4 linked regions of the Saccharomyces cerevisiae S288C genome follow. Changing the gene in region 2 together with the main gene of any one other region gives a genetic interaction. Each region holds a gene or a part of one and is shown on either strand. Other genes may lie near its edges. The genes, in order: YKL069W, CNA1, ATC1 and VCX1.

What was found.
Region 1: mutations in CNA1 (region 2) and YKL069W together harm fitness more than expected from each alone (negative genetic interaction), as found in Saccharomyces cerevisiae (2 studies listed by BioGRID).
Region 3: of CNA1 (region 2) and ATC1, extra expression of one rescues a mutant of the other (dosage rescue), as found in Saccharomyces cerevisiae (one study listed by BioGRID).
Region 4: of CNA1 (region 2) and VCX1, extra expression of one rescues a mutant of the other (dosage rescue), as found in Saccharomyces cerevisiae (one study listed by BioGRID).

Annotation. Positions count from the first base shown.
Region 1 is NC_001143.9:302,590-310,600, forward strand, and holds YKL069W (L-methionine (R)-S-oxide reductase), read left to right. Parts: upstream 1-4,695; coding exon 4,696-5,238; downstream 5,239-8,011. Other genes in the region: OSI1 (Osi1p), read left to right, coding at 2,525-3,295; YKL070W (uncharacterized protein), read left to right, coding at 3,622-4,131; YKL068W-A (uncharacterized protein), read left to right, coding at 6,617-6,853; FG-nucleoporin NUP100, read left to right, coding at 7,610-8,011. UniProt on the Saccharomyces cerevisiae protein: Catalyzes the reversible oxidation-reduction of the R-enantiomer of free methionine sulfoxide to methionine. Does not act on S-enantiomer of free methionine sulfoxide or R-enantiomer of dabsylated methionine sulfoxide.
Region 2 is NC_001144.5:1,003,847-1,007,690, forward strand, and holds CNA1 (calcineurin catalytic subunit A), read right to left. Parts: upstream 2,163-3,844; coding exon 501-2,162; downstream 1-500. Other genes in the region: IMP dehydrogenase IMD3, read left to right, coding at 1-282; TSR2 (Tsr2p), read left to right, coding at 2,532-3,149; ECM30 (Ecm30p), read right to left, coding at 3,575-3,844. UniProt on the Saccharomyces cerevisiae protein: Calcium-dependent, calmodulin-stimulated protein phosphatase. This subunit may have a role in the calmodulin activation of calcineurin.
Region 3 is NC_001136.10:827,314-835,611, forward strand, and holds ATC1 (Atc1p), read right to left. Parts: upstream 4,201-8,298; coding exon 3,316-4,200; downstream 1-3,315. Other genes in the region: SAS4 (Sas4p), read right to left, coding at 1-42; putative lipid phosphatase CDC1, read left to right, coding at 269-1,744; YDR182W-A (uncharacterized protein), read left to right, coding at 1,838-2,041; PLP1 (Plp1p), read left to right, coding at 2,272-2,964; UPS3 (Ups3p), read right to left, coding at 4,621-5,160; SND1 (Snd1p), read right to left, coding at 5,546-8,179. UniProt on the Saccharomyces cerevisiae protein: Involved in cation homeostasis and in the regulation of the cation stress signaling cascades. Also involved in bipolar budding.
Region 4 is NC_001136.10:228,708-237,507, forward strand, and holds VCX1 (Vcx1p), read left to right. Parts: upstream 1-3,944; coding exon 3,945-5,180; downstream 5,181-8,800. Other genes in the region: homocitrate synthase LYS21, read left to right, coding at 1-8; STF1 (ATPase-binding protein), read left to right, coding at 464-724; ribosomal protein P1 RPP1B, read left to right, coding at 1,199-1,312, 1,614-1,820; YDL129W (uncharacterized protein), read left to right, coding at 2,317-3,192; cyclin PCL2, read left to right, coding at 6,220-7,146; AAA family ATPase CDC48, read right to left, coding at 7,450-8,800.

The sequences.
Region 1 (8,011 bases), on a different chromosome or scaffold from region 2:
TTAGTTGATAGACAATAGTGGATTTTTATTCCAACAGTTTCATACTTATTTAAATGTTTAGGTTGATATATTGGTAATGATATGTTATCTTACTCTGAGATGCAACATATATGCTACATACTGAACTCATTTATCCAATATTAAATTAAGAGATTGGTGAATTTTGAGGTATTTGTTGGCAGATCTAAACTTCATCATGCTCTTCTTTTTCTATGTATCTAATCTTGTATTTTATCTTCATAGAACACTGTTATCTCTGCTCTTTTCAGATATAGTCGTCATTGTTTGAGGTGATCTATCCTATTTTAAAACGTGAATATTCCAAGATGAAGCGGTGGCTCAATGGTAGAGCTTTCGACTCCAATTAAATCTTGGAAATTCCACGGAATAAGATTGCAATCGAAGGGTTGCAGGTTCAATTCCTGTCCGTTTCATTTTCTTTTTTTGCCATACATTTAGCGCTCCACACTCTAAATAAAGTATTTCTTCTTTTCTTGAAAATGATGTACTTAGGTTGATGAAATAGCCTCAGTTACTGGAATTTCCTTACCTTTGTCGTGTTACTGATAGTATATCTTAATCATTATTTCTTGTTTCAATCTGGATTTTGATTTGCGCGGCATATCGTTACCGCCTTTTGCATATTATAAATGGCTTATATAAGTATACAGCAACTTTCATATATTATAGATAGGTAATTGCCTCCACATCGAATCACATAGGATAAAGAACCGACTTCCTGCCGCGAATTTAGAGTTTTCACGTTATGTGACCATCTCAATTTTTAGAATATTTGCTAAGCCACTTGCTATTAAAACTTCATGGACAGGCCCCAGTATTATCGCAATAATACTGGAAACATCAACGAATGCTATAATAATGCGCATTTACTTTGGGCAAAAGAACTATTTAAAATTACGCATTACGTAGTTTATTTTGACATTATGATCATAAACATGCGCAAATCCTAAGATCGTGAATTACCTCTACTGCGAGAATACAAATTATAACATATGACTAACGTTACACAACATTGTATTACATTTCTGACTAATTTGAAGTCTGGGAGTTAATTGTAGTAGCCTACTAAATAGCGCGGTTATTTATAAAGCTAACATTACCATGTTACATGACATGCTATTTCTAGCGAGGTAAAAGCATTGCTCCGGCTTTTCGAAGATAAGTATTCCTTCAATTTCCAAATGTCACAACATAAAATTTTGATTTGCGTTATCTCTCGTTCTCTTTAATCACTACAATAGCATCAACCAAGTCAATAAAACATGTTGTGAAGAGACTACGCAGACGTGACGGTCATCTAGCAACTCTCCATCTTTTGATGCAGCCATCCACAGTTTATCGTGAGTTATGGCAAAATCCAAAAATGTACCGTACCATTTCCTCTTTAATCCTGTATTCAATAAGCAAGTTCCCCATTTCAATTGATCTACACATCACTGCGCGTTAAAGCGCACCTAATTTATTCGGTAGGAAACAGAAATAGTCTGCAAAGTCATTCAAGCACCTTTCTTTACCAAATGAAAGGATTTAATAGTACCTATGAAACAATAGTTCGAACTTTTGCCATTTCCCGGTTTTTTTGGCCAGCTTGTATAAAAGTGCACCTTACCCTTATATTGGGCTCTTATTGAATGCCTTCCGAAGAACTGACTATTCAAAAAATAGAAACAAGTACGTCAATAAAAAATTTTGCAATTCTACGAATAATTATTCCTGTTTCTTTAACCTGGTAAAAAAAAGTACAAACACTTAAGCTTTTTGAAACAGCTTTATTTTGCTTCATTAAATAGCTAGGATAAGAAATCCCTCATCCGAAAGGTTTTGTATCTAACTACCCTAGAGAACATTTGTCCTGATCAGGTTCATTTGGAGTTTATATTTTTTAGAAGCTCAAAGTTTGTTGGACTCATTACCATGGAAGAAAAAAAGAAGATACTACGAAATATTGGTTTCTCAGGTTAAATAAGGGACACCATTTTCCTATTAGGCTAGTCGAGCTTAGTTCTTCTAATTTCTTCAGATCTTCTATAATTTCCTATCTTCTACCTGATGTGTGCATGATATATCTATGAGCTCCTGATATTGCTTGTTTTACTTTAGCTTGCATGACTTGCAATAATCTAATCATATATGTTCCCGATTAATATACTGTGCACAAATTGCAGGACATATAATTTTTCCGTGGATTATATCTTCGATTAACGTCCGCGGGTCTCATAAAAAGCAAACCAACTTCGCAATTCCCTAGAAATACCTCAATAGAAAGTTATTTGTAATGAGATTAGTAATGAGATTAGCAATGAGATTAGTAATGAGATTAGTAATGAGATTAGTAATGTGATTAGTAATGCATAGCGGTATAAATGGTAGTACTAATAAGTAAGATAGTATACCAGTTATAATAAATAGGCGGCGATGCTTCAAAACTAATTTTTGACGTTTTTAAGAATAAAGCCTTTACCAGTGGCATAAATCAGTAGAATTCTAAGCAAACAAAGTCGATATGAATACTTCATCAAGAATAACTTACTTTATCATCGGTGGTAGCCGTGGAATTGGTTTTAATTTGGTCAAAATTTTAAGCGCTTCTACGGGCAATACAGTTATAACCTCTATTCGTGGATCACCTTCATTACCCAAGAACAAACAAGTGGAAGATTTAGCAAAAATCAGGAAGAATATCCATATTGTCCAACTTGACCTTACAAAGGACGAAAGTATTGGCAATATTGCGGACGAGATCAAGAAAACGCCATTCTTCTTGGGTATTGATATTTTTATCGCATGTTCTGCAGTATCTGATTCTTATTACAAGGTCCTGGAAACTCCCAAATCAGTCTGGCTCAACCATTATAGCACAAACGCTCTGGGTCCGATACTAGCCCTTCAAAAAGTTTATCCACTGCTTCTTTTGAAAAAGACGAGGAAGATATTCTTTATCTCTAGTGTTGCAGGATCTATCAATGCGTTTGTACCACTTTCTGTTTCCGCTTATGGTCAATCGAAAGCTGCCTTGAATTATGCGGTAAAGACGCTCAGTTTTGAATTGAAACCGGAGGGTTTTACTGTCGTTGCTTTTCACCCAGGTATGGTATCTACTGATATGGGCCAATATGGCCTTGATCATTTTAAAGAGAAGAATATAGACATCAGCGGCGTAAATATTATCACACCAGAAGAAAGTGCCTCTGCGCTAATTGATGTCTTCCGAAAAATTTTACCAGAAGATAATGGAAAGTTCTTCAACTATGACGGCAGCGAAGGCGTCTTTTAGATAAGTGCAAATTTGGCTACTTATATACAACTCAGATACGGAATATACCTTTGTGTAATACACTTTTTTATTGGTAGGTGCTATATGATGTGACTTTGCTTTTGCCTCACGCCCCTTTAAGAAGGTATTTTGTGGCATCACTTTGTATGCTGATCTTTTAACGCTTAACCAGATTTGAAACTATCTCTATTATGTCCTCTGATTTTAATTAGGATGGTATATAACTGGTCCTAGAACCGAAGATTCTGCATATTCGCCGAAAACCATCCCTTAATATTATAGACATAAATTGCCAGTCTGAGAAGAATCCAAGAATCTATTTCATAATGTACATTCCTAAACATTTTGAGTCCATGGAACTCTCAAGGTACAAATTATCAAAAAAACCCCCGCTAGGAACACTATTCTCCTCTAAGGCTAGCAGGCAAGGTTTCTTCGGATGGAGAACTTCTTCCAATAAAGATGACCCCGATTTTGGTATGTGCGCATCACATATTCCATTTGTATTCGTGGAGTTCGATAATGGAGAGCATAAACTTATTGCACATTTAGCACGGAAGAATAAACATGTGGAAATGCTGGAAAGAGTTCAAAAATGCTTAGTGGTATTTCAGAGCGTCGATTCATACATTTCTCCGGCGTGGTTCCCAATGAAGAAAAAGACCCATAAGTTCGTACCAACATGGGATTTTGCCGCTGTGCACGTTTACGGTACACCAAGGATTATCCGCGACGATAAAGACTGGCTTATTAATATGTTATCAACTTTGACTGACCAAGAAGAAGAGAAAAGACCTGAGGGGGAAAATGTACGAAGTAAAGTGGAGCGTTTCTGATGCCCCAGATTATTATATCAATGCTATGCTTCAAAACATTGTCGGGCTTGAAATCAGTATTACCCATATTCAATCAAAGTTCAAATTCGACCAAAATAAATCACAGATTAATGTTGAAGGCATATGTTGAAAATTCAAAGAATTTGGTGGAGAAAGAGGCCAAGAAATGGCTCGCCTTGTAAAAGATAACTATCCAGGTAGCTTATAAGTTTTGTATTTTCTCTGCGCATTAAATATCAATAATTATTTATTCGTTTTCATTCTTTTCTTATCTTATCTTTTAATATTGACTTAACAGAGGGCAAGGCCCACCGTGATGCAGAAAGAACACAAACGCAAAGGTTTACCTATTCCCTGCAGTTAGAAAACCATGTTTGGAGGAAATGAAGAAAGATATTTACAGTTGAGTTTACAACGAAGTATTATCCTTTTTAACGAACGCTAATATCATCGGTTTCTTCATGTTTATATGATGACGATTTTCCCAAATGTAAGCAAACAAAGGCGTTTGCTGATAAAACAAATCCGTAAATTAGAAAAAAAAACAAAAAAAAACAAACAGATATGGGCTCATCAACCGGGTTTCATCATGCCGATCATGTTAACTATTCTTCAAATCTGAATAAGGAAGAAATTCTAGAACAGCTTCTGCTTTCATACGAGGGGCTATCAGATGGACAAGTCAATTGGGTTTGTAATTTGTCAAACGCTTCGTCATTGATCTGGCATGCGTACAAGTCATTAGCTGTTGATATCAATTGGGCTGGATTTTACGTTACTCAAGCTAGCGAAGAAAACACACTGATATTGGGCCCATTTCAAGGAAAGGTCGCTTGCCAAATGATTCAATTCGGTAAAGGTGTTTGCGGAACTGCAGCCTCTACAAAGGAAACGCAGATTGTTCCAGATGTCAACAAGTATCCCGGTCATATTGCGTGCGACGGTGAAACCAAGAGCGAAATTGTTGTTCCAATCATATCCAATGATGGTAAGACATTGGGCGTCATAGACATAGATTGTTTGGATTACGAAGGATTCGACCACGTAGACAAAGAATTCCTAGAAAAACTTGCTAAATTAATTAATAAATCATGTGTCTTTAAATAAGAGTTTTGAGAACGAACAAGTATTTACGCACATAACCAATATTCCCATGTAGCTCTCTTGTCAAATATATTGTCGGACGGGCACGAATAGAGATAAACATCAAGAAAGATTGAGGGGCTTCAGGAGATCATTGGTGAAGAAAACATTCCCTGTTCGCCAAATTGACAGCTCTCAATCTTTATTTGTAACCCTTATTGCAAATTTATGGCATGTTTACCCTCAAACAAAGGATATTCAGCATTTATTAAAAATATCTTTGCTTGGTAAGAAAAAAACGTCAACGAAAATGACGGAGATATCTGACGGAAAAAAAAATTGATTTCGCCCAGGATCGAACTGGGGACGTTCTGCGTGTTAAGCAGATGCCATAACCGACTAGACCACGAAACCACTTAATTGTTGAATAACGGACATCTAAAGTCATATCTATAGTGCAGCAAGTTCTTCTTCAGCTCACCCCAGTCTCGCTAAAGGCATGCTTACTTTGCCGTAAAGAAGAAAGGAACGTTCAAAATGTGTTTGATGCGTAACTGTGATGATTTTCTATCATTTACTTGCATGATATCGGTGAAAATTCTAGCTAGATTTATCAATGCATAGAAGCAGTAAGTGATGCCACAGATATGAGCTTTTCTCTGTGGCGAGGTCTTTGAGAAATTAAGTGGCTTGTACAGTTTTCACATGACGATTGGAAATGTTGAAAAAAGAGCCTAAAAATAGGCCTTATCGAACAACATTAAACTAATAATCTTCTGGATGCGATAGTCTTACTTGATAAAAATCATTGGCGATATTGTGTTACCTGGATTATCAAGCTCGCCACTAAAGGTGTCTGGATCCTTACTCAATACAAAGTCCAAGGAAAGGTGTGCCACAGGAAGAGGTAGCATCCCTTTATTTCTTTTCAAGGAAAGAAGCATTTTCAATCACATATGTATACAATAGTCTTCCGTGTGGCTGCACCGCACCACCTTGCAGGTCCCGTGTATGTAGGAGTCGCATGCGAATAAAAAATTGAGAAAGATCATGGGGTTTTTTGTTCACGCGGGCCGCAGTTGTGGCTCCTCTGTCACTTTTTTGCCCTCTGCTAAGGGCAAAAAAGAAAAAAAAACGCAACGAGAAAATTAAAAGTGTGGCATTTCGACATCTATCGCCATTCGTGCGGCCATTTCTCGAAACAACGCTAAACTTTTGTTTCGACTGTGAGGCCCTAGAACAGTTCGATTCTGATGTAGGCAATGGAAGAAACAATCATATATAACTACAGAACCTAATGTTACATGCTTGCATCTCTCAGCTCCCGCGAATTTTCAAGTGAGACTTAATGGTAGCCATCTAGTAACTCATAAATCAACGACATTATATATCATCAACTACAATGCAGGCAAACCATTCCGTCAGTTACCTTTACGAATCAAGTACTTCAAAGAGGTCAAATGGGCTCTTTTCTCAAACACAAAAGCAAGGAAGTTTTCAAAAAGCTTTAAGTCAAACTCAGGAAGAAATAGAAGATGAAGACCTGATGGTAGACCTCAACACAGGATCTTTAACTCCCGTTAAGTTAAAATATTGGACTCAAATGAGTGCTATGACGGAAAAATTTGGTAAACTGTGAGACCAATTTTGGCGGTAATTTCGTTTAGCTGTTTTATTTTCACATTTTTAATTGTCAATGCTGGAGGTTGTTAAAGTTTGGCTAGCTGTTCTGAACAATCCTTGTATACCGGTGAGACTTTTTGTTATAGATATTGGCGATATTCATTTTTTAGGAAGGTGTTTTTATAGATTTTTCAATTTTTTTTGTGTAGATGCATGTTTTGATTACTTATGCATAGTACGAATTTTTAGTTTATTAAGCTATAGAGGTTTTTTTTTTTTTCACCTCTTTACCACAAATTTAATAGCTATTGTGTAGAATAACTTTTAATGGAAAACATTTGCAGTATTTTAGTATTTTTCTACCTGTTTATTGCAAGTAAGGGCAGCATTATCCTGATAGGAGTAGAGGTTAACCGCACATCGGAATGAGACTTCTCCAAGAACGTTCTCAAAGTAAAACATTTAGCATTAGGAAATTTCTTTGGTCGATTATTAGACAAAGATTAGATTGTATTATGTTCTGATGCTTAGTTAGAACGGAAAGTGTTACCCATCTTGCAATCACCGTGACACCTTAAATATTTGCCGTAAGCGAAGAAAAAAAGCATGAAAAAAAAAAGCATATTTATGCTGAAGTCATCTACAAATGACCACCGCTTTTGGACCTGAAGAGGAGAAGAAAATAACATATCGTAGAACAGTCTTTGTTAACCAAAATATTTTAGCTTTGATTCCGGACTATTAGTACATTGAATTTTTTCAGGTACTAACAATGTTTGGCAACAATAGACCAATGTTTGGAGGGAGCAACCTTTCCTTTGGATCAAATACGTCATCCTTCGGTGGGCAACAATCGCAACAACCAAACTCTCTTTTTGGAAATAGCAATAACAACAACAATTCCACCAGTAACAATGCCCAATCAGGATTTGGTGGATTCACTTCTGCCGCTGGCAGTAATAGTAACAGTTTATTTGGAAATAACAATACTCAAAATAATGGGGCATTTGGCCAGTCAATGGGTGCCACCCAAAACTCACCATTTGGGTCGTTAAACTCCTCAAATGCCAGTAATGGGAACACTTTTGGAGGATCCAGTTCAATGGGTTCTTTTGGTGGTAATACCAATAATGCATTTAATAATAACAGTAACAGTACCAATTCCCCGTTTGGT
Region 2 (3,844 bases):
GGTAATGCATCTACCTCCCGTTACTTTTCCGAATCAGACAGTGTTTTGGTCGCACAAGGTGTCTCCGGTGCTGTCGTTGACAAAGGTTCTATCAAGAAATTTATTCCATATTTGTACAACGGTTTACAACATTCTTGTCAAGACATTGGTTACAAGTCCCTAACTTTATTAAAGGAAAATGTCCAAAGCGGTAAAGTTAGATTTGAATTTAGAACCGCTTCTGCTCAACTAGAAGGTGGTGTTCATAACTTACATTCTTACGAAAAGCGTTTACATAACTAATTGGTAACTAGGGTTCATTAATAATAAAATAAAACTAAAAAATATGTGTTTATATTTATTCTGCTCGCAGTTAAGTATGGAAATCAAGAAATAGACTGGAAATGATCTATATTTTCTTCGTATTTTGTTAGTTCATATTATCTCTTGCGGATCGTGACAGTAGCACAAGAATTCGATGTTGCATCTCATAGGAATAAAAAAGAATAAAATGAGATTTATCACAGTTGTGGCTTTTTCTCCGCTCCCTTTAATATTTTTTCGTAGTATTTAATCTTCTCTTGTTCAACCTCCGATAAAGATGGTGGTAATTTTTCATTAATAAGGTCTTCCTTTCTAGCCTTTTCAAAAGTGCTTAGCGTTTCATTCAAACCTTCAGTCCCACGAGCTAGAGCACCACGAGGTAAGACACCGGCATTCATAGTTTTCAAATATTCCACTTTTTCGCTCTCTTCTCTTAGCACCGAAAACATTCTTGAAACTTTAGCAATAGCTAATATCTTATTTCTCAAAGCCTTTCTTCGGGTTTCATCTTCTAATATCGCTGATGACGCCTTTTCATCAGATGGGGTGCCGGTCTCCTTAGTTGCGTTTGCTCTTGCCTTTACAGTCTCCTCCGCAGCTTTGGGTTCCGATTCTGGGTCAAGTTCCTGCTCACTACATATGTTTAATATAGACACTAACATGCTAGTAACTTTTTCGCCAACAAAAGGTAGTGACCAGGTGAAAACATCCATAAAATCAGGCAACCAGTAAGGGTGCGGAGACATGTGAAACTGCCTGATGTTCATGACGTTTTCTTCATATTTTAACACAGCAGCTTTATTATGATATGTGTCCAGGTAGTTTGGCGCACTGAACATGGTTATTAAGCTCGGGAAGCCTGTTACTTTATTGTTTTTATACATTCTGTACCCAGCATCCTGTGCTTCGTGTGCTCTAATAATAGATAACAAACCATTTGCCTTCAAAAACTTGCATGATGCTTTAAAAGTGAAGGCGAAAGAGCAACCCCTCAAACTGTTAGGTACGAATTCATCCTCGCTCTGATCAAATTCGCTACCATCTCTTGCATCATCATAATTTTCGACAGGATCGGCCCATAGTAGGTCACACATGAGACCACGAGATGGGATTTCTCGAAATCTATTAATTTTATTAACATCCTCTACTGATTTTAACTCTGGAGAGATACCACCATGCACACAAAAATATTGTCCGTTCATTAAAGCTGCTAATGGTAAGACATTGAATGATCTGCAGCAAGCATCGTAAACTTCCATATCGTATTTGTGCAACATCTCATTCTTAAAAGTAAAATAAGAGGTCAAGTGCTTACACTCATGGTTACCTCTTAGCATCCAAAATCTCCCTAAATTATTCAACTTCAAGGAGTACAAATAAATCAGACACTCAAAAGAGAATGCACCTCTATCAACATAATCCCCCAAGAATAAATAGTCGATTTCGGCGGGGTCACCGCCAACTTCAAACAGTTTCAATAAATCATAATACTGCCCGTGAATATCACCACATATAGTAATTGGCGCTTTGAGTTTTAGTAGATTGGGTTCTTTACTCAATGCTACAGTTGACATATTTAAGATTTTTATGGCCTGTTCCTTAGAAAGTCGACCCTCATGAAAGAAATGCTCTCTTAAAAAGGAATGATTAGGTAATCCCGTCTTGGAGTCGAATACTTCCTCATCACTTGGTATCTTTCCTGTTATGGCAGGTACAGAAGCGATAGGTCGGTCCTTAGTAGAAATTACTTTACCGTTTTCTAATTCGTATTTTGTTAAATCTTTTTTCCGGTCAACCTTTATGTAAGAGTCATTAGGTTTAATGATTTTGATGCGTGAAGAATTCAAGTCTTTCGACATTGGCGTTGAGAGTGTTTTATGGCAGCTGAGCTAATACGTCAAAAAAAAAAGAATCTAAAAAAACTTTTCTTTGAATAATACCTTTAATAAAGCAAATATTAAAGGCTTTGCTTCGTTCTTTTATAATAATGCCTCTTGATTCAAAAACATTAAAGGATTTATACATTTTTCCCTTTTGTTTCCCAGTAGTACGTTCTTTTTCAGAATTGGAAAATTCATGTTTCAAGAGGCGATGACATGAAAAATTTTGAAATAGATATAGATGAATATCAAAATGATTCAAACAGTTTGTATTTATTGCAACAGGAAGAAAGGTGGAGTCCAAAGAAATCTGCGAAAAATTTTTATAGTGATAATCCTTACGGAACAATGAGCACACAATATATTGATGAGACAGCATTTGTTCAGGCTGAGCAAGGTAAAACCAATCTAATGTTCTCTGACGAAAAGCAACAGGCACGTTTTGAGCTCGGTGTTTCCATGGTTATTTATAAGTGGGATGCGTTGGATGTTGCCGTAGAAAACAGTTGGGGTGGTCCAGACTCAGCTGAGAAGAGAGACTGGATTACAGGGATTGTAGTAGACCTTTTCAAAAATGAAAAAGTTGTTGACGCCGCTTTAATCGAAGAAACGTTACTTTATGCAATGATAGATGAATTTGAAACTAATGTTGAAGACGACTCGGCTTTACCGATTGCCGTGGAGGTCATCAACATATATAACGACTGTTTCAATTTAAATTATAATAAGGTAGAAAAATTGTATTTGGAATGGCAAGAAAAGCAGAGAACTAAAAAATCAAAAAGAGTTGTGCATATTGAGGGTGATGATGATGAAGACGATGAAGATGTAGAGGACTATGATGACGAAGATGAAGATGAAGAGATGGACGAGGTTGTACCTGACTTAGTATCGTCTAAACCTGAACCAATTGTTGACGAAGACGGTTTTGAATTGGTTCAACCAAAAGGAAGAAGAAAGCACTAGTATCTTCAAAATCTGTATATTATAATTGATAGTGCGCTGCTTTTTTGCACTTCCAGTAAGAAATAGCAACAAAATTAGATAAATCTCGGTGGAGTTATCCAAAATATGTAATATATATCAAGAAAGTTACGTATTAAACATTGGACTTCTAGAGGAGATCTTCAATATAGATTTAAAAGGTGGGCAATGCATCGCTACGTGAAGATTTTTACTTTTCTTCAACATGTGTATTTTTTATGTTTCATATTTTTATATTTTGTGTTTGCTAAGGTCTAATCGTTCAGCTAAGTTAAAGCTAAGTATAAGAAGCAAAAAATACTAAATTATACTAAATTATAAATTTTCGTACATAAATAATCATGAGGTAGATGTTTAAATATGTAAATAGTTTCTTTTTTCTTCTTTGTGATTGTCAAAATTTGTGTCTATCTATACAACCCTCTAGAGGTATATCTTAACTGTGTATTATCATCAAATTCGTTATTATTATAATTGTCATTATCGCTATTAATGAATTTAAATTTCTTGAAAAAAGAAGATGTCATTTCCAGAAATGAAAAAGATTCTTTTCTGAAGTTTGCGATCTTAAATAGTCGGATGTCGGTTCCAACCCAAATGTTATTTTCAATTATGTTGTTTACAACGCCGGGACTAATTTCTTCTTCAAACATATAACTATTCAAATTATCTGTAAT
Region 3 (8,298 bases), on a different chromosome or scaffold from region 2:
AGAAGTATTATTTGCTTCTTCTATTGATTGAAAAATACCCATTGATGAACTCTCATATGCTTTTAATGCTGTAGAAATTTTCGGTTTTCCTTTTTAATCTTGCTACTTTTTGTTTTGAGATCGCTGAAATCAACTCGCGGGTTAGATTTTCTTATTTTTAAAAATGTAGAACGAACGATTATGGAAACAACAATAACCAAAAAGAAAGGGAAAACAGTACCGCTTCTACTAATCTGTTGGATACATTAGACAATAAGCTCTAGGAAGTATGGTATATCGTAACAGGTCAAAGAGCGTTTTATCTACACACAGCAAGAAGAGCGACGATAAGGCCCACTATAAATCACGTTCGAAAAAGAAATCAAAAAGCAGGAGCAAGAAGAGGTTAAGAATCTACTGGAGATACATATCTATTGTATGGATCTTATGGTTAGGATTAATATCTTATTATGAATCAGTGGTTGTGAAGAGAGCAATGAAGAAGTGCCAATGGTCGACTTGGGAGGATTGGCCTGAAGGCGCTGAAAGTCATAGGGTGGGTTTATTTGCAGACCCACAAATAATGGACGAATATTCATATCCTGGGAGGCCTCAAATAGTTAATTATTTTACAAGAGTGATTGTTGACCATTATCACAGGAGAAATTGGAAATATGTCCAGTATTACTTGGATCCTGATAGCAATTTTTTCCTAGGTGATCTATTTGATGGAGGGAGAAACTGGGATGATAAGCAATGGATTAAAGAGTACACACGATTCAACCAAATATTCCCCAAGAAGCCACTGAGAAGAACGGTCATGTCTTTACCAGGTAATCACGATATTGGTTTTGGAGACACAGTTGTTGAATCGAGTTTACAGAGATTTTCTAGTTACTTTGGAGAAACTTCCTCCTCATTAGACGCTGGAAATCATACCTTTGTACTTTTAGATACAATTTCGCTTTCTGATAAAACAAATCCGAATGTCTCGAGGGTTCCTAGACAGTTTTTGGATAATTTTGCAATGGGTTCACATCCGCTTCCTAGAATTCTTTTAACTCACGTTCCATTATGGAGGGATCCAGAACAGCAAACGTGCGGTCAGCTACGTGAATCCAAAGAACCTTTTCCTATTCAGAAAGGGCACCAGTACCAGACAGTTATAGAAAACGATATATCACAAGAAATTTTAACGAAAATTCAACCAGAAATATTATTTTCCGGGGATGATCATGACCATTGTCAGATATCACACTCATATCCGTTTCAGGGGAAAACTAAAAATGCTCAAGAAATTACAGTAAAGTCATGTGCAATGAACATGGGGATCAGTAGGCCTGCTATTCAATTGCTCTCCTTATATAATCCTTCAGATTTGACAATGGTAAATGCCGGCGGAGAGTATGCATCAAAAACTTACCAAACAGAGCTATGCTATATGCCAGATCCCTATAAGGCAATCAGAATGTACCTATGGGGATTATTATTCTCTGCTGCCTTTATCGCATACATGCATTTTTTCCCAAAATCTTTTAATAATCGCGTAGCAACCATAATGAACAGAGTATTTACACGACCTGATGGTAACACCTCAGATTTGCCATTACCTACAAGTATTTCCAAATCGAAATCCAAAAAATCATTGACACATAGTAAATACGCTGTGAATGATACGCGTTCGATCAAACAATTTCTAGTTAATGCAATTGTCCTTTTTGTTTCTGTGATGCCCATTTTTATTTATTTTTATACTGTAGTCTAGACAGAATTACTGCTATTCTCTTCCAGGATCAAAATGCTTTGAAGGGAAACGTCTGGCTATTTAATATATGCGAATACACCTTATATACAGACAATGAACAAGAGATATAAATTATACCGGGTGTGGTATTACTATGCTCACCAAACAGTTTGCATAACCTCTACTGGATTTGCATTATGTTTTGTGGTCCAAGCTAAAACTGCAGGACTGGGCGTAACACCAATTACTTCACTATACGGGGACAAAAAAGAACACCTAGGTAAGTTGTTGGTTCCTTTAGTTTTATATCAAATTTAGCAAGTCATGACGGCAAATTTCTTTGTAAGCTTTGTTTAAAAGATGGATACAAAAGGACGACTTTCCTTTCAATCTTTCGTTTTTGCTTTTTATTATTCCATAGCAATATAGTGATCATAGTAGTGTAATTTTTAGAGTTTAAAAAACACGAAAGTAGGATGAAGTACAAAAGATTAACGAAAATACTCCATTCTCTTAACAACTCATACGTATATGAAGATTAAATTAATATGGAAGATAAATTAGACAGATACTACACAAATGTGCTTTCAAATGCTGAAAAGGATAAACACACAACTGTCGATAGCGATGACAAAAGTAGTGGCGAGGAAAATTTAGATGAACTACTTAATGAATTGGATAGAGAATTAGACGAGGATCATGAATTTTTGAGTGCTTATCGGTCGGAGAGGCTACAACAAATATCAGATCATTTAAAACAGGTCAAGAAGAATGTTGAGGATGACGGATACGGTAGATTGCAGTGCATTGATAACGAGGCAGATGCTATCCAAATATGTACAAAGACTACTATGGTGGTCATACATTTTGAATTAGAAACATTCGGTAAGTGCCAGTATATGAATGAAAAACTGGAAAACTTGGCAAAGAGGTATCTAACCACGAGATTTATTAAAGTAAACGTCCAAACATGTCCATTTTTGGTTAATAAACTGAATATTAAAGTACTTCCGTTTGTAGTTGGATACAAGAATGGCCTAGAAAAAGTTCGCTACGTAGGATTTAGTAAACTGGGAAATGACCCTAATGGGTTTGATATTAGGAGGCTAGAGCAATCTTTAGCCCATTCAGGTGTTATAGAAGACACATTCGAAATAAGAAAGCATTCATCTGTGAATACGGAACGCTTCGCTTCTACAAATCATGATAGAAGTGAAAGTGATAGTGATTTAGATATATAACTAAATAACCATTACCTCCCTACTAAAAATGACTCGATGGTCTTTTAAGCCATACGCATGAGCGAAAATGGTTCCTCCTGTTCAAACTAAATCGGTTATTCGAGCGTACCGTTGAAAATTTAATAAAACGTTTTGGGGGATTTATAGAAAGTTAAATACGAAATATGCGTATAGTAATGTTTATACATGAAACTCAAAAATGCGACTGTGTTCCTTAAAATAATAAAAGTTGAGTACGAATAACGATGACTGAGAAAGGTAGTGTATATTGTATATAAAATTGGACCATCTTTGTAGTAAAGACAAAAAAACCAATAAATGCAGATAAACTTAGCAGAACTAACTCTAAATTTAACTTTCCTTGGATGATTTTTCATTGAGTTTTTGAGTAAGTTCTAGGATTTGTTGCTTCAAGTCATCATTCTCAACCAATAAATGTGCTCTGTGAATTTCACTATCCTTTAAAGAGTCCATAGATTTTTTCAATTGAATACAAGATCTCGCGTAACCTTCTTTAATAAAATTGAAATTGAGCAGCAATTTATGAGTATTAATTATTCTTGCCTTCATTTCCGAAATTTGACTTATTGTAAACTCATTTGTGAACTTAGCAGGCTTCGTTGCAGATACAATGTCTTGTCTTGCAGAATCTATTTTAGATGTTATATCAGTAATCATGGATTCTATTTTTAGGTGGGATTCATTAGCGTCGGATGAAGCTAACGAAGATGAAGGTGATAGGGATGCAGGGGATAACATGGGTTCATTTGTGGTTTTCAAAAGGGATTTTTTCTTCTTGATGGTGGGTTTATCTATCTTATAGTTCTTTTGTTCTTTATCAGGTTTATGTACGTTATTTTGGTTTGTACTTTTATCTAATGATGCCTTGCCAGTATAACCCTTTTTATGCCTATCGAGATCAATACCAACTAGGCTATCATTAGCACTTCTCTGCATTTCCAAAAGTGTGCTCGAATCGGTGTTGTGTTCATCGTTAAATAAAGATTCCAATGTTAGGTGTTTCTGAGAAGCGATGTCGGAATCAAAAATATCAGTGCAGTCTAAATTATCCATCATAACTTGTTCGAGATCCTTTCCCAAATCTAAACTCTGCCCATCAATCTTTACTGTATCATCAAAATGATTATTTGCCTGAGTGAGCAGCCGATGCAACGTATGTTCTATATTGGCATCATCTGTTAAATCTGTATTCGGATTGGACTGATTCGTGTTCATTATCTTCACGTTTTCCCTATCACAACCTTAGTGTAACTTGAACCAACAAAATTTAAGATGTCAAAACTTCAATCAAGTATTGAGCTCTTCAATAGGGCACTAGCCCTCTGAAATTTTTCATTGAAAATACCGTACCGCATGTTTTTTGGAAATTTTTCATCTCATCGCTAAAGTGGAAAAAAAAAATTCTAGAAACTGAAAAAAAAGAGAAAAAAAAATGACAGAAAATATTTGATTTATATCAAGATGACACGAGTTTGCAAAAAGAGAAAGACACGCTATAGAAACTATTTTGGCAAATTAATCTATTCACTTATTTTTGAGTTTCTGAGTGTAGTTATATGCAAAGAGGCTATAAATCCTTATTTTTTTGAGAAAAAATGCTTGAGAAAAAATGCTTGAGAAAAGATGTATTTTTTTTTATTCGTTAGCATTTTTCCAGATATCGTTGAACATTGCTAGAATACTATCAAACCCGACTTTCCCCTTCACCGCGTTATCACTAAAACGTTTAACGCCCCAGTTTTCTACTTTCTCACTAAAGGTTTTGGTCGGAACACCAGACAGAAACTTTGCATCCTGCTTGAAAAGAGTCACATTCGATGGATTTTTCGGATGAGGAACATAACGTACGGTTTCGTAACACTTCAAAATATGCGGGAAGGTCATATTGCAACTCCTCATAGTTAAAGATCTGTCCCTTCGATCAACGGTGGAGACCTCTCGCACGTATGCTAAATTAGTGTTCCCCACTAAAATGGACATCCAGTGAGGGGTGTTCTGACGTATGGTTATCAGCCGTTCTGTAAGAAGTACATCGCCATGTTCTTTGAGCTCTCGGCGGAGCACATCGACTGCAATAACGTGTGTGGAGATCTTGTTTGGATATTTCATCCAGTTCGCCGTGGTGACTTTCTCCCATGGGTAATCGAATTCATAAGATTTTTGAAATGATTTCATTATTAATATATAAGCTCGAGAGATATATGACTAATAGAAATATTTACTTGAACTTGTCGATTAGAGAAAAGAAAATGCGTTGCTTGGACCGCAGATCCCACTTATTGTTTTCTTGCCAAATGTAACAAGATCTATAGGTTTATGAACTTTCTTCGAAAATCTCATTACTTTTTTTGATAAATAAACGGGCCCCTTGCGGACAAAGCCCTGAAAATTGAAGATTTACGCAGTATCACGTAAACCCAAAAAAAAAAATACAATATCGGTTAAAGTGCTGTTTTAATTTAGAATATATGTTTTACTAATCTATTTATAATCAAGTATATGTGTAATTTGGCTTTTTCCCTTGCCTTGTGCTTAACCTAGTTTTTTTCAGGTGATTATTTTACCGGGCATTACCTCCTAATACCCATCCTCCCATGTTATCCATATCATCTTCGCCGTATAAATCCAGGGTGACGGCTTTTTTATAAACGGGTTTGGTGACTGTAGAATTCGAGTTTGAGTATTTCACTCCTTCAGTTGTTACATCTGTAAAGCCTGCACTATCATTGTCATCATAGAGATTTAGATTGAAATTATTGGAATTTATACCAGTATTATTGTCGTTATCATTATCATTATAGTTATCATTGTCTGGGTGATTCGGTACTATTGTGCTATTAGTCGAATCGTTATCGTCCTCGCGTTCTTTGGGGAGAGATCCAGACATGATTTGGTCTTCTTCCTCGAGATTTAGTAACCTATGACTGGAATTGTTACTATTTTTAATGCTATTCGCCATCAACGCATCTGTAGGCGTTCTGGACTTGAAGTTTAGTGCCAAACCATTCTTTTCCATGTTACCATTCATCAAGGTGCTAAAAAGGTTAACTGATGGTTGTCTTCTCAGTTCTTCAAATGACTTGTTGATCAAATTCTTCTCAAATAGCAAGTTACTGTTTGAATTATTTCTCATTAGTAATGGAGATGCCTGTTGTGTATGTTGTGGAATTGGTGAATTCAAGAATTTTTGCTTCTTACTTGTGTCATTTAATAATTTGGAAAATGCGTTTGATACTGTAGACATGTCATTCAACGAGGAGTTTGAACTACTTGCGCTTGTAGAGGGCGTAGATATTCGGGAAATAAATTCCGGAGGTATCAATCCATTACTAATAGAAGGAGCCAAGTTTCTGTTCATCAAAGATTTCCTTTTAATAAGCGTTGCAGACGATAGATTCTTTTTGTTGTTGATAGTGTCTGTCCCGTCAAAATCACCATCGTGCACGTAGACGTTAGTAAAATGGTTTGAAGAGGTCGATCTTTTAGGTGATGAAGCCCCTGCAGAATCGGGTTGTTGGCTGTTTGGAAATTTCTGGTTGAACGGCTTTTGCAGAGCAGGGTCCATTAAACTCAAGGACCTAAACCTACCCCTTGTTTCCTTCGAATTTTTTGCCATAGAATCTATTCCGGAGGATAACACGTCTGTGCTCGAACCAGAGCGGGACAAAATGCTTGGAGCGTAAAAGCTCAAACCTTCATCGTCACTCTCATCGTCATCGTCATCATCGTCATCATCGTCTTCATCATCATCATAGTTGTCTTCATTTCCACCTTCTTCATCATCGTAATTAAAGCCATATTCATCTGCGTATGAGGTTCTATCCTGCTCTTGTTCCCCTCGTTCTTTTGTATAATCGTCATAATTATTATTGTTGTACAGGACAATTTCCTCATTCTTAGCACGGTCTTGCACTTCGTTGATTTGGTTGTTTAACTCGTCATATACTAGTTCGTCGTTTGATGGTGTCTTTCCGTAGGGGAAGGGAGAAGGCGATCTGGACATATTAGAACTAGAATAGGATTGTGAACGGGAATGTGGATGCAGATGCGATTGTAAATGCAGTGCAGTTCCCGAAGGCTGCTTGCGTAGGTTGGATTCCTGACCAATAAGATTGTTGATTGACGTTGATGGGATAGTTGTGATGGATTCGTTCGTTTTGAACATATGTGCCCTGTTGGATTTTCTGTTGATAGACAACGACCTAATTCTGACGGACTTGTCTTTATTGGAGGTTAAAACCGAGTTTTGAAAATTCAACAACGACGAAGAGTTTCTTTTCAAACTTGTGTTGCTCTGGTCGTCGCCCTTATCTTCGTTAACAGCATCTGAATATTCATGTAGCGCTTTTATTGATTCCTGGGAGATAAGGCTGGTGAGAGGGTGGTCTGACAACAAAGTCAGCAGTGCTTTTACCCCCGTGCTATTCGTGACAATAACTATGGAATCCAAGACAGTCTGGTCTTGCATGCTACCATTGCTCTGGTTTGAGCCGGTGAATTTCTCGTTCAACTTGGTGTAGTACTCTTTGAACGGGAGTGACTTGGAGTTCTGGATTGTCTTAGTGAAAGAACCAATATTCTGCCAATTAATGATTTTTAAATTAAGCAGTTCTGCGTTCAGGAAAGTAGAAAACCACTTGAGAGAGGTGGGAGAAACGTTGATCTGGAAACATAGGTTTAGTTTCTTTTGAACATACAAGTCTTTGAAAGAATTAAACAATTTTTCAACCAAAAATCTTATGGTCTCCACGTAACGTAAAGACCCCGAAGACGACACCAGTACATTCAGATCAAACTTGTTTTCCGGTGTGCTGCGAGAGCTGATCAGACTTTTCAACTCCTCCCAAAACTTATCGTTATCTTCCGCAGTAGATGTGTTGGAAAAACTTTGCGCGATCGAATTTCTAAGCCGATGCAGCTTAAACCGTTTATTCAGTCTGGAAAGCTTGTTATGAGTCATCTCATCGTTGTAGTAGTCGATCGTAGGGATATCTATGTAAAGTAGGATGTTAAGCTTCTTTAGCGAAGGGTACCGGTCCGCCAAAGACGCTTGTACCACTGTCTGCTGCATGTTGGAGTAAGTGATCAGAAACAGCGAGTCCTGTGACTTCACACTAACTTTTGGTGAAGTGGACTGGGCAAAGCGACGCTCATTAATGCTCGCGGCTGCTGCGTCCGTACCGACAGTGTCCATCGTAGTGTAGGCTTCCCAAAATTTAGGATGTGATTAGTAATAGTGGTTGATTGCGAGCTCCGGGATGCGAGGGAGAGCGTGTATGTGTACTTCAAGTTCGCCAACTTCTCTCTTAAATA
Region 4 (8,800 bases), on a different chromosome or scaffold from region 2:
CCAAATAGTTTCATTATATATATAGTACACATATTTCAAACATACACATACTGGGCGTTATTAGGTGTTTAAGTACTGGCGATTACCGTAATAAAATTACTATTTACGTCAACTTTATTCAATAAGCTTTTTCTCCTACTCCGATGTTCAATTGAGGCGGTTGCATCTAGCTTGAAGACGGGGTATTTTAATCAATTAATTGAGATCAATGAATATTGACTCTGTGCGATTCCCCACGCTATTATACTCTCACGGAGTATTTCCGTTATGATAATGATCACTATATACGTCAAATGATCGGTTTCTATTTGCTAACTATTTCAAGCATCATTATTATCTTTTAGGGGGCGGCTGGGGAATTATTTATTATATTTAGTTCAGTCGTTCATAAGAAAATTGAGCTCTCCATTGTAGATATTAAGAAGCACTTTCACCCAGTCATCCAACCAAACACGCTATCAATATGTTAAACCGTTGCATTTCCCGTAATACCAGGCTGCCAGTAAACCTAAGAATTGCCTCTCGCTTTTATTCAGATGGTCCTCTCGGTGGTGCCGGACCTGGTAATCCTCAAGATATCTTTATCAAGAGAGAACGTGCCAAAGAGGATTATTATGCCAGACAACAAGAGAGGGAACAATTAGCACATGTGAAGGAACAACTAAAAGAACACAAGAAAAAATTAGAGAATTTAGAAAACAAAATTAATAACCTTTCAAAGTGATTGGTCATTGTTAAGGCTAAAGGTTCTGCAGACACGTTTTGTACGTAGAAAGAAGCAATCATGCCAAATCAAAATTAGGAAATGAACATCAGTGGTATTTTATAAGCCTGCACATTATATATAGTATATACGTCACGAATACAGGAACACCGTCAGTTAGAGAAACGTCGCCTCAGTTTGCTCCTCAGATATTCCTTTAAACCCATACATATCTTACACAAAACATCCGTACATCAGAAGGATTATATGAAACGCAAAAAAAAATAAAATTTTCATTTCTGCGTGTCGCGCGAAGGAGAAATCTTAGAATTGAAACTTCCGGCTAACGGTTGCTAAAACTAGTTTCCAATGTAATACCAAATAAGCATTTGATGTTGAATCTGTAAGCCCCTTCGTGATATTTCAAGGTTAAATTACGAATTGCAGTTTCAGTTAATCTTGGACTAACAAAGAAATCAAACAACTAAGAAGAAAATGTCTGACTCTATTATTTCCTTTGCTGCTTTCATCCTAGCTGATGCTGGTTTGGAAATCACCTCTGACAACTTATTGACTATCACCAAGGCCGCTGGTGCTAATGTCGACAACGTATGTACAAAAATGCAACCTAAAACGACTTTGTGTGACTACGAAGAGAAAGATTAGACAACAATCGTCCCGAGAAATGCGCAATTTTGAATAATGGGGGACAGAAAAATTCCATGTAACGTTTCCCTCTAACATGATGAGATACTAGGGGGCAATACATGTAGAAATATTTCTCCATTAACGTATTTAACGGAAAGCACAAGTCAGGATCGAATTACTTCTTCAAGGATCTCATTTTACTAACAAACTCAACGAATAACGACTCTTCCTATGGAGCTTGTTATATGTATCATTGAATTAGGTCTGGGCTGATGTTTACGCTAAGGCTTTGGAAGGTAAGGACTTGAAGGAAATCCTATCTGGTTTCCATAACGCTGGCCCTGTTGCTGGTGCTGGTGCTGCTTCTGGCGCTGCCGCTGCTGGTGGTGACGCTGCTGCTGAAGAAGAAAAAGAAGAAGAAGCTGCTGAAGAATCTGACGACGACATGGGTTTCGGTTTATTCGACTAAACATACAAGGAAAGTCATTTTTTCTGCAACGTTTTTTTACCCTTTATGTATATATATTTACATATAAAATAAACCTCTAATCAATCAGTATTTAAAAATCGGAAGTAATGTCCATACGAAAGGGCTACGAGAATTTAACCATCTCGTTCTTTGCTAGAAATGGCACTGCGGGATAGCCCCTGGTTGCGGGATATCAGACCTGTCGTCACCATAGCAACCAAAAATTACATAAACCCATGGTTGCTCGCCCTTTGATGGCGACGCCGACCGAAGCTTCTCCCGCGCACATTTTTAAAATTTTTACTCATCGGGAATGAAAGGTTCTTTGACACATGTAAAGCTCCCTAAGTTGGACATACGTCGGTCCTTACAGGCTTAGCAATACACCTATAAGGCACTAGAAACGTATAAAATTTGAGCACTTTAGTTTCTCATCCCTTTTGATACGAAACGCGGGCAAGGCTACGGCATACAGGAATTTAACATTTTGTTGGCTATGGAGCTAAGAAGTAGACGGAGCGCAGAGGCCTATCTTGTCACGCCTGAGGAACCTGCCAAGAATAAGAGTGAACGGAGCATAGAATCCAATGAGAGGGTCGGCACGAGGGAAGCAAAGAGCGAGAACACAAGTGTATTTAGTCCCGCTTACTCTGATACCGCTACTACAGATTCATCGAAGAAAGTTGATGACAATGAATACTACAATTTTACTAGTCACTTCATGCCATCTTTGAAAAACACCAGAGAACTAGAAAACACAATTCTCAATCTCATACAGAGGATAAAGGAAGGGGATGATGAAACGTTAGTTAGTGAGAAAGATCTCATATTAAGTGTGCTTAACAGGTCTTTAGCATCCACATCTCACTGGAAGTTACAGGCCCAGCTATCGGAGTTAAGGGCCACCTCAGAGGGAAGGTATGCAGTTGAGACAAACTTGTTGAAAAAAGAGGTAGAATTTTTAAAAAACAAGACCCCAAAAACCAACGAAAGTGCAAGTTCCGCAGAGTTGAGACCACTTCTTGAACGACCTTTAAAGCGTAAACTGTCATTGCCAGGACTAGCGCAAAGACCATTATCCACTGGCGCTAGGCTAGAAGGAGGATATGGAGGTGTATCGCCGAACTCATGGAAAACCAAAGTTCCAAAACTTCCTCTTCCTGCTTCCCGGCCGTCTTTGAATCTTTCTCCCCAAAAAGTCCCAACGGGTACTGATAAAGTTGAGGAAGATACCAAAATTGACACATTGGAATTAGTAGAGAACAATAAACCGCATCCAAGGATGAGAAGAAGGAGTGACAATCCAGCAACAAACGAATATGTGAGAGTTTTTCATTTGGAGAAAAAAGAACCTAAATCACGAAAAAAATAGTATGCTAGAAAAAAATATTATTGAACGTCAATAATTTTTCTTTCTCATGGGACCAAACACATCATTTATTCTCTAATAATATTCTATTCTCTTTATTTCTGGTTTACTCTTTTAAAATTCTCCAAAGAGAAATATCTCCTTCAATTCTTCAGTTACGAATTTATGTTTACTTTTAACCTCTATCATACACCTTTAATCTAATGCCTCCAACTGTCTGTAATTTTAGTACAACTTAAAAGGGAAATTTTCCGAAAGTGTGAAAAAATTGGATTTTTTTTTCTCCTATTGAACTCAATGGAAGCTATCAGTTTGGAGAGGGACAATTATTTTCCTTCTTGTTTTTTGCCAAGAGAACAATATTGTAGTATTTAAGTTCTAATTTAATGTTATATATACTTATCTAATAGTTTTTTTTTTTCAATTAGATTGTTTTCCTTACGACGTTAATCCCTTGTCATCCTCACTTACGAACTTCGATGAATATGACATACGTAATCGGGAATGTTTTGTAAACTAATTGACGTAGTTCCTTTTTCGTAAACTGGACTGGACGGCTTGATCAAAATTCCCGAAAAATAAAAATTTCCCTCACGAGAATATGGAAATTACTATCGCCCAGCATTATTTTATCTCCTCAGAGAGTAAAAGAAGTTTCCTCTTTCCTAAACTTAAAAAGCAGTCCTAAATATATAGTTGACTTCGACGCATATCATTCATCGGCTGCTGATAGCAAATAAAACAACATAGATACAATGGATGCAACTACCCCACTATTAACTGTTGCGAACAGTCATCCCGCCCGCAATCCAAAGCACACTGCATGGAGAGCAGCTGTGTATGATTTACAGTATATTTTGAAAGCGTCACCCCTGAATTTCCTATTGGTATTTGTTCCTTTAGGTCTGATTTGGGGACACTTCCAACTATCTCATACACTGACATTTCTTTTTAATTTCTTGGCAATTATACCGTTGGCAGCTATCTTGGCTAATGCCACGGAAGAGTTGGCTGATAAGGCTGGTAACACCATTGGGGGACTGCTAAATGCTACTTTTGGTAACGCTGTGGAACTAATTGTTTCTATCATTGCCCTGAAAAAAGGTCAAGTGAGAATTGTGCAGGCCTCGATGCTAGGTAGTCTTCTTTCTAATTTGCTGTTAGTGCTTGGATTATGCTTCATATTCGGTGGATACAATAGAGTCCAACAGACATTCAACCAAACCGCCGCTCAAACAATGTCCTCATTACTTGCCATTGCGTGTGCATCCCTACTGATTCCCGCTGCCTTTAGAGCCACCCTACCTCATGGCAAGGAAGACCACTTCATCGATGGAAAAATATTGGAGTTATCCAGAGGCACCTCTATTGTTATTCTCATCGTTTACGTTTTGTTCTTATATTTCCAGCTAGGGAGCCATCACGCCTTGTTTGAGCAACAAGAAGAAGAGACCGATGAAGTTATGAGCACCATTTCCAGGAATCCACATCACTCTTTGAGTGTCAAGTCATCATTGGTGATACTTCTAGGTACAACTGTGATCATCTCTTTTTGTGCGGATTTTCTAGTCGGTACGATAGACAACGTTGTTGAATCTACCGGGCTATCTAAAACATTTATAGGTTTGATTGTCATTCCTATTGTGGGTAATGCCGCAGAGCATGTCACTTCAGTCTTGGTGGCCATGAAGGATAAGATGGATCTGGCGCTAGGTGTTGCCATCGGTTCCTCTTTACAAGTTGCCTTATTTGTTACACCATTCATGGTTCTTGTGGGCTGGATGATCGATGTTCCAATGACGCTAAATTTCTCCACTTTTGAAACCGCTACTCTTTTTATTGCTGTTTTCTTATCCAATTACTTAATTCTCGATGGTGAGTCAAACTGGTTGGAGGGTGTCATGTCTCTAGCTATGTATATTTTGATTGCAATGGCATTTTTCTATTATCCAGACGAAAAAACCCTTGACTCTATTGGAAATAGTTTATGAGTAAGAACAGTAGCGCAGAAATTCACCATTCTCTTTTTTTTTATATTTTATCTTCTTCGTAATTCTATCGATGGACCAATACAAAGATGATTATGACTAGCAAGTCATTATTATGATCGTTATATTATACATATTATGTTTACGCAACTAATTTTTATATCGAATTTTATCTGAAAAAAAGTTTTCAAAACCAACAAAATATTTTGTACACTCTTCGAAACTCAAATTCTGCACCATTTCCATTCTGATAAAAGGTTTAATATTTCGAAGCTTCTCAACTACAGCTCGTGTTCTTCTTGCAGCACATCAGCTGCTTTGCTGCACTGTTCAGGGTAACGTTATTCATTACAACGAGAATATTTAGGAATTTTGCTCAAATTCATGGAGCTTCCTACATCATTGCACAACAGAATTTCGTTTTGTAGTATAGTTTATTAGAAACAAATGTGAATAGATCATGAGACGCGAAGCCCTATTTTAGCGGATTTTAGCCTTACATTTCTGAGTGAGAATGCCAGCTGAAACACATTCTTGTTACATCTGTCACGGCATTCCAGCTGTAAAAAACCAGCAGATATCGCATAAAAAAATGGCCAGCTATAGAATAAAATTAGCCCAGCTATATTTTTATAGCGTCTTTTGATGACGCGAAAAGTAGACTTCGCGTAACACGAAAAATGCTGGTGCAGGTGGATTTTTTTGGCAGATACTACGGTCAATTCTCCGCTCGAAGATTTTTATAGGCCTGGCTAGTTACCTATTTAGTGCAAATTGGGAAGAGATCTATTGTTCCCGCAGACACGCTAAGTGGTAGCTGTAACTTCGGAGACGTGTGAGACCTTCCTCAAACATGTTACAGGTTGATCGATTTACACATCTAATGCAAGTTTAAGTGCTTCTTAAGTGTTTTTTTCTTTAGTCTTATAAGTTCTCCTTTCTTTCACTTTATAATTCTCCTTTATAAAAGTAAGACCCGGTGCTAAACAACCTGATCCGACAAGAGCAATTTCAATACGGCAGCAACTTTTTACTACAAAAGATGTCAAACTACGAAGCCTTGCTGAAATTCAATAGGAAGGCTGTATCTAAGGAAATGGTGCAATATCTAGCATCGACCACAGCTTCCATTATCAAAATTAAGAAGACGAATAGTATGATAGATATTGCATTGCCAGCACCACCGTTGACTAAATTCATCAACAGACTGATCAAGCATTCTAACGTTCAAACTCCGACTCTGATGGCTACCTCTGTATATTTGGCCAAATTAAGATCAATAATACCGAGTAACGTTTATGGTATAGAGACCACCAGGCATAGAATATTCTTAGGTTGCCTAATATTAGCTGCAAAAACGTTAAATGATTCCTCCCCTCTTAACAAACACTGGGCCGAATATACGGACGGCCTTCTCATCCTAAGGGAGGTTAATACTATTGAAAGGGAACTATTAGAATATTTTGATTGGGACGTCACCATTTCCACAGATGATTTAATTACATGTCTCTCGCCATTCTTGAAGCCTATCAAAGAGGAGCAGTTGTACAAATCGCAAAGAGACTGTCGCACGTTGAAAAATTTTTCTGCTCAAGAAAAAGACATAGTAAACAAAACATCCATTTCCCATTCGCGCTCATCGTCCAATATGTCTATCCCATCTTTAGCTTCCACTTCGACCCTCTCCACGTTGGAATCTAGAAGATCGAATTTATCCAATTATAGTAACAGAATACGAACTTTGCCCGAACTACACGAATCCAATAACATTAGCGACAAGTTTTCTCCGCGAACATACAACATAGACTCCAAACACGATAACAAGGAAAATAGGCCAATACCGACAATTAAGCCTTTTAATTTTAGTAAAGCGCGCCCTGTGATCTTGAAAACTGGGTTAAACAAACAGATAATAAAAGAAGATACAAAAGTAAAGAAATCGAATTGGTCAAATTACTTCAAATCGTGATTTTAAATGTCGAAATTATGCCTGGCCTGCGTTTCTTCATGGCACTTTCGGAAAAGGCGGAAGAACACAGGTAAATGTTCTTACGACCGAGGTCCTACAGCCTCCCTTTTTTCTTATTTTACATATTAATATACATAAATATACCATAATGCATTCTTTTTCTAATGATTTAGCTCTCCTTTTTTTGACAAATTTGAAAATAAATATAAAAAGGGCCATAAAATATTGAGTTAAAATTGACGATTTTTTTTATAGAAATGACTTGAATTTACGATTTAAAATAAAAATATACCTGGCATATAACTAACTATACAAATCATCATCTTCCTCCGCATTAGAACCAAATGCAGCACCTGCTCCACTTGGAGCACTATTATTACTGTTAGCATTGTCCGTAGCCGTAGTACCTAATGGAGCGTCATTAAAGTTGAAATTACTGAATTGACCTCTAGATGCTTTCATTTGCTGTGAGTATGCTTCATAACGACGCAATTCAGCATCTGAAACAGAACGTTTAGCGGTCTTCATAGCTTCTGCGAAATGCTCCTTTGTAATATATGGAACAGGATCTACTTCTGGTTCTTGTTCAGCCTTTGCTCCCTCATCTGTCATTTCCACGTCTTCACCTTCTACTTTCACTTCCTTTTCAGCTTCGTGTTGTCTGTGAGCTTCGATAGAATCCTTGATAGCGTATTTAGCAGCCCTCTGCACAATATAGAGTAAATCAGCACCAGAGAAACCTTGAGTGGCCTTGGCAATCGCAGTTAACTCTAGCCCTGGTTCTAGTGGTGTTTTCCTTAATTGAGCATTTAGAATAGATAATCTAGCGTTTTCATCTGGCAATGGAACATAAATTAATTGATCCAATCTGCCAGGTCTTAAAATAGCAGGATCAATTTGATCTGGCCTATTGGTGGCACCAATCACGAACACATTTTTCTTAGCATTCATACCATCCATTTCTGTTAATAGTTGGTTGACGACTCTATCCGAAGCACCACCAGCATCACCCAAGGAACCACCTCTTGCCTTGGCAATGGAGTCTAATTCATCTAGAAAAACGACGGTTGGTGCAGCTGCTCTTGCCTTATCAAAAATATCACGGATGTTAGATTCCGATTCACCATACCACATACTCAATAATTCTGGACCTTTGACTGAGATAAAGTTGGCAGAAACCTCAGTAGCTACAGCTTTTGCTAACAAAGTTTTACCTGTACCTGGTGGACCGTAGAACAACACACCCTTTGATGGTGATAACCCAAACTTTGTGTATTGGTCTGGATGTAAGACTGGGTATTCTACAGTTTCCTTCAATTCCTCCTTGATTTCATCTAGGCCACCAACGTCATCCCAAGTAACATTGACACTTTCAACAACGGTTTCACGCAATGCAGATGGGTTTGAATTGCCCAATGCGAATCTGAAGTTGTCCATGGTGACTCCTAAAGAATCGAGCACCTCTGCATCAATTTCATCTTCATCTAAATCTATCAAGTCCATTTTTTCACGGATCTGTTGCATGGCAGCTTCAGAACACAAAGAGGCAATATCAGCACCCACGTAACCGTGTGTTTCAGCAGCCAATGCTTCCAAATCAACATCATCAGCCAACTTCATGTTCTTGGTGTGAATACGTAGAACTTCAAGTCTA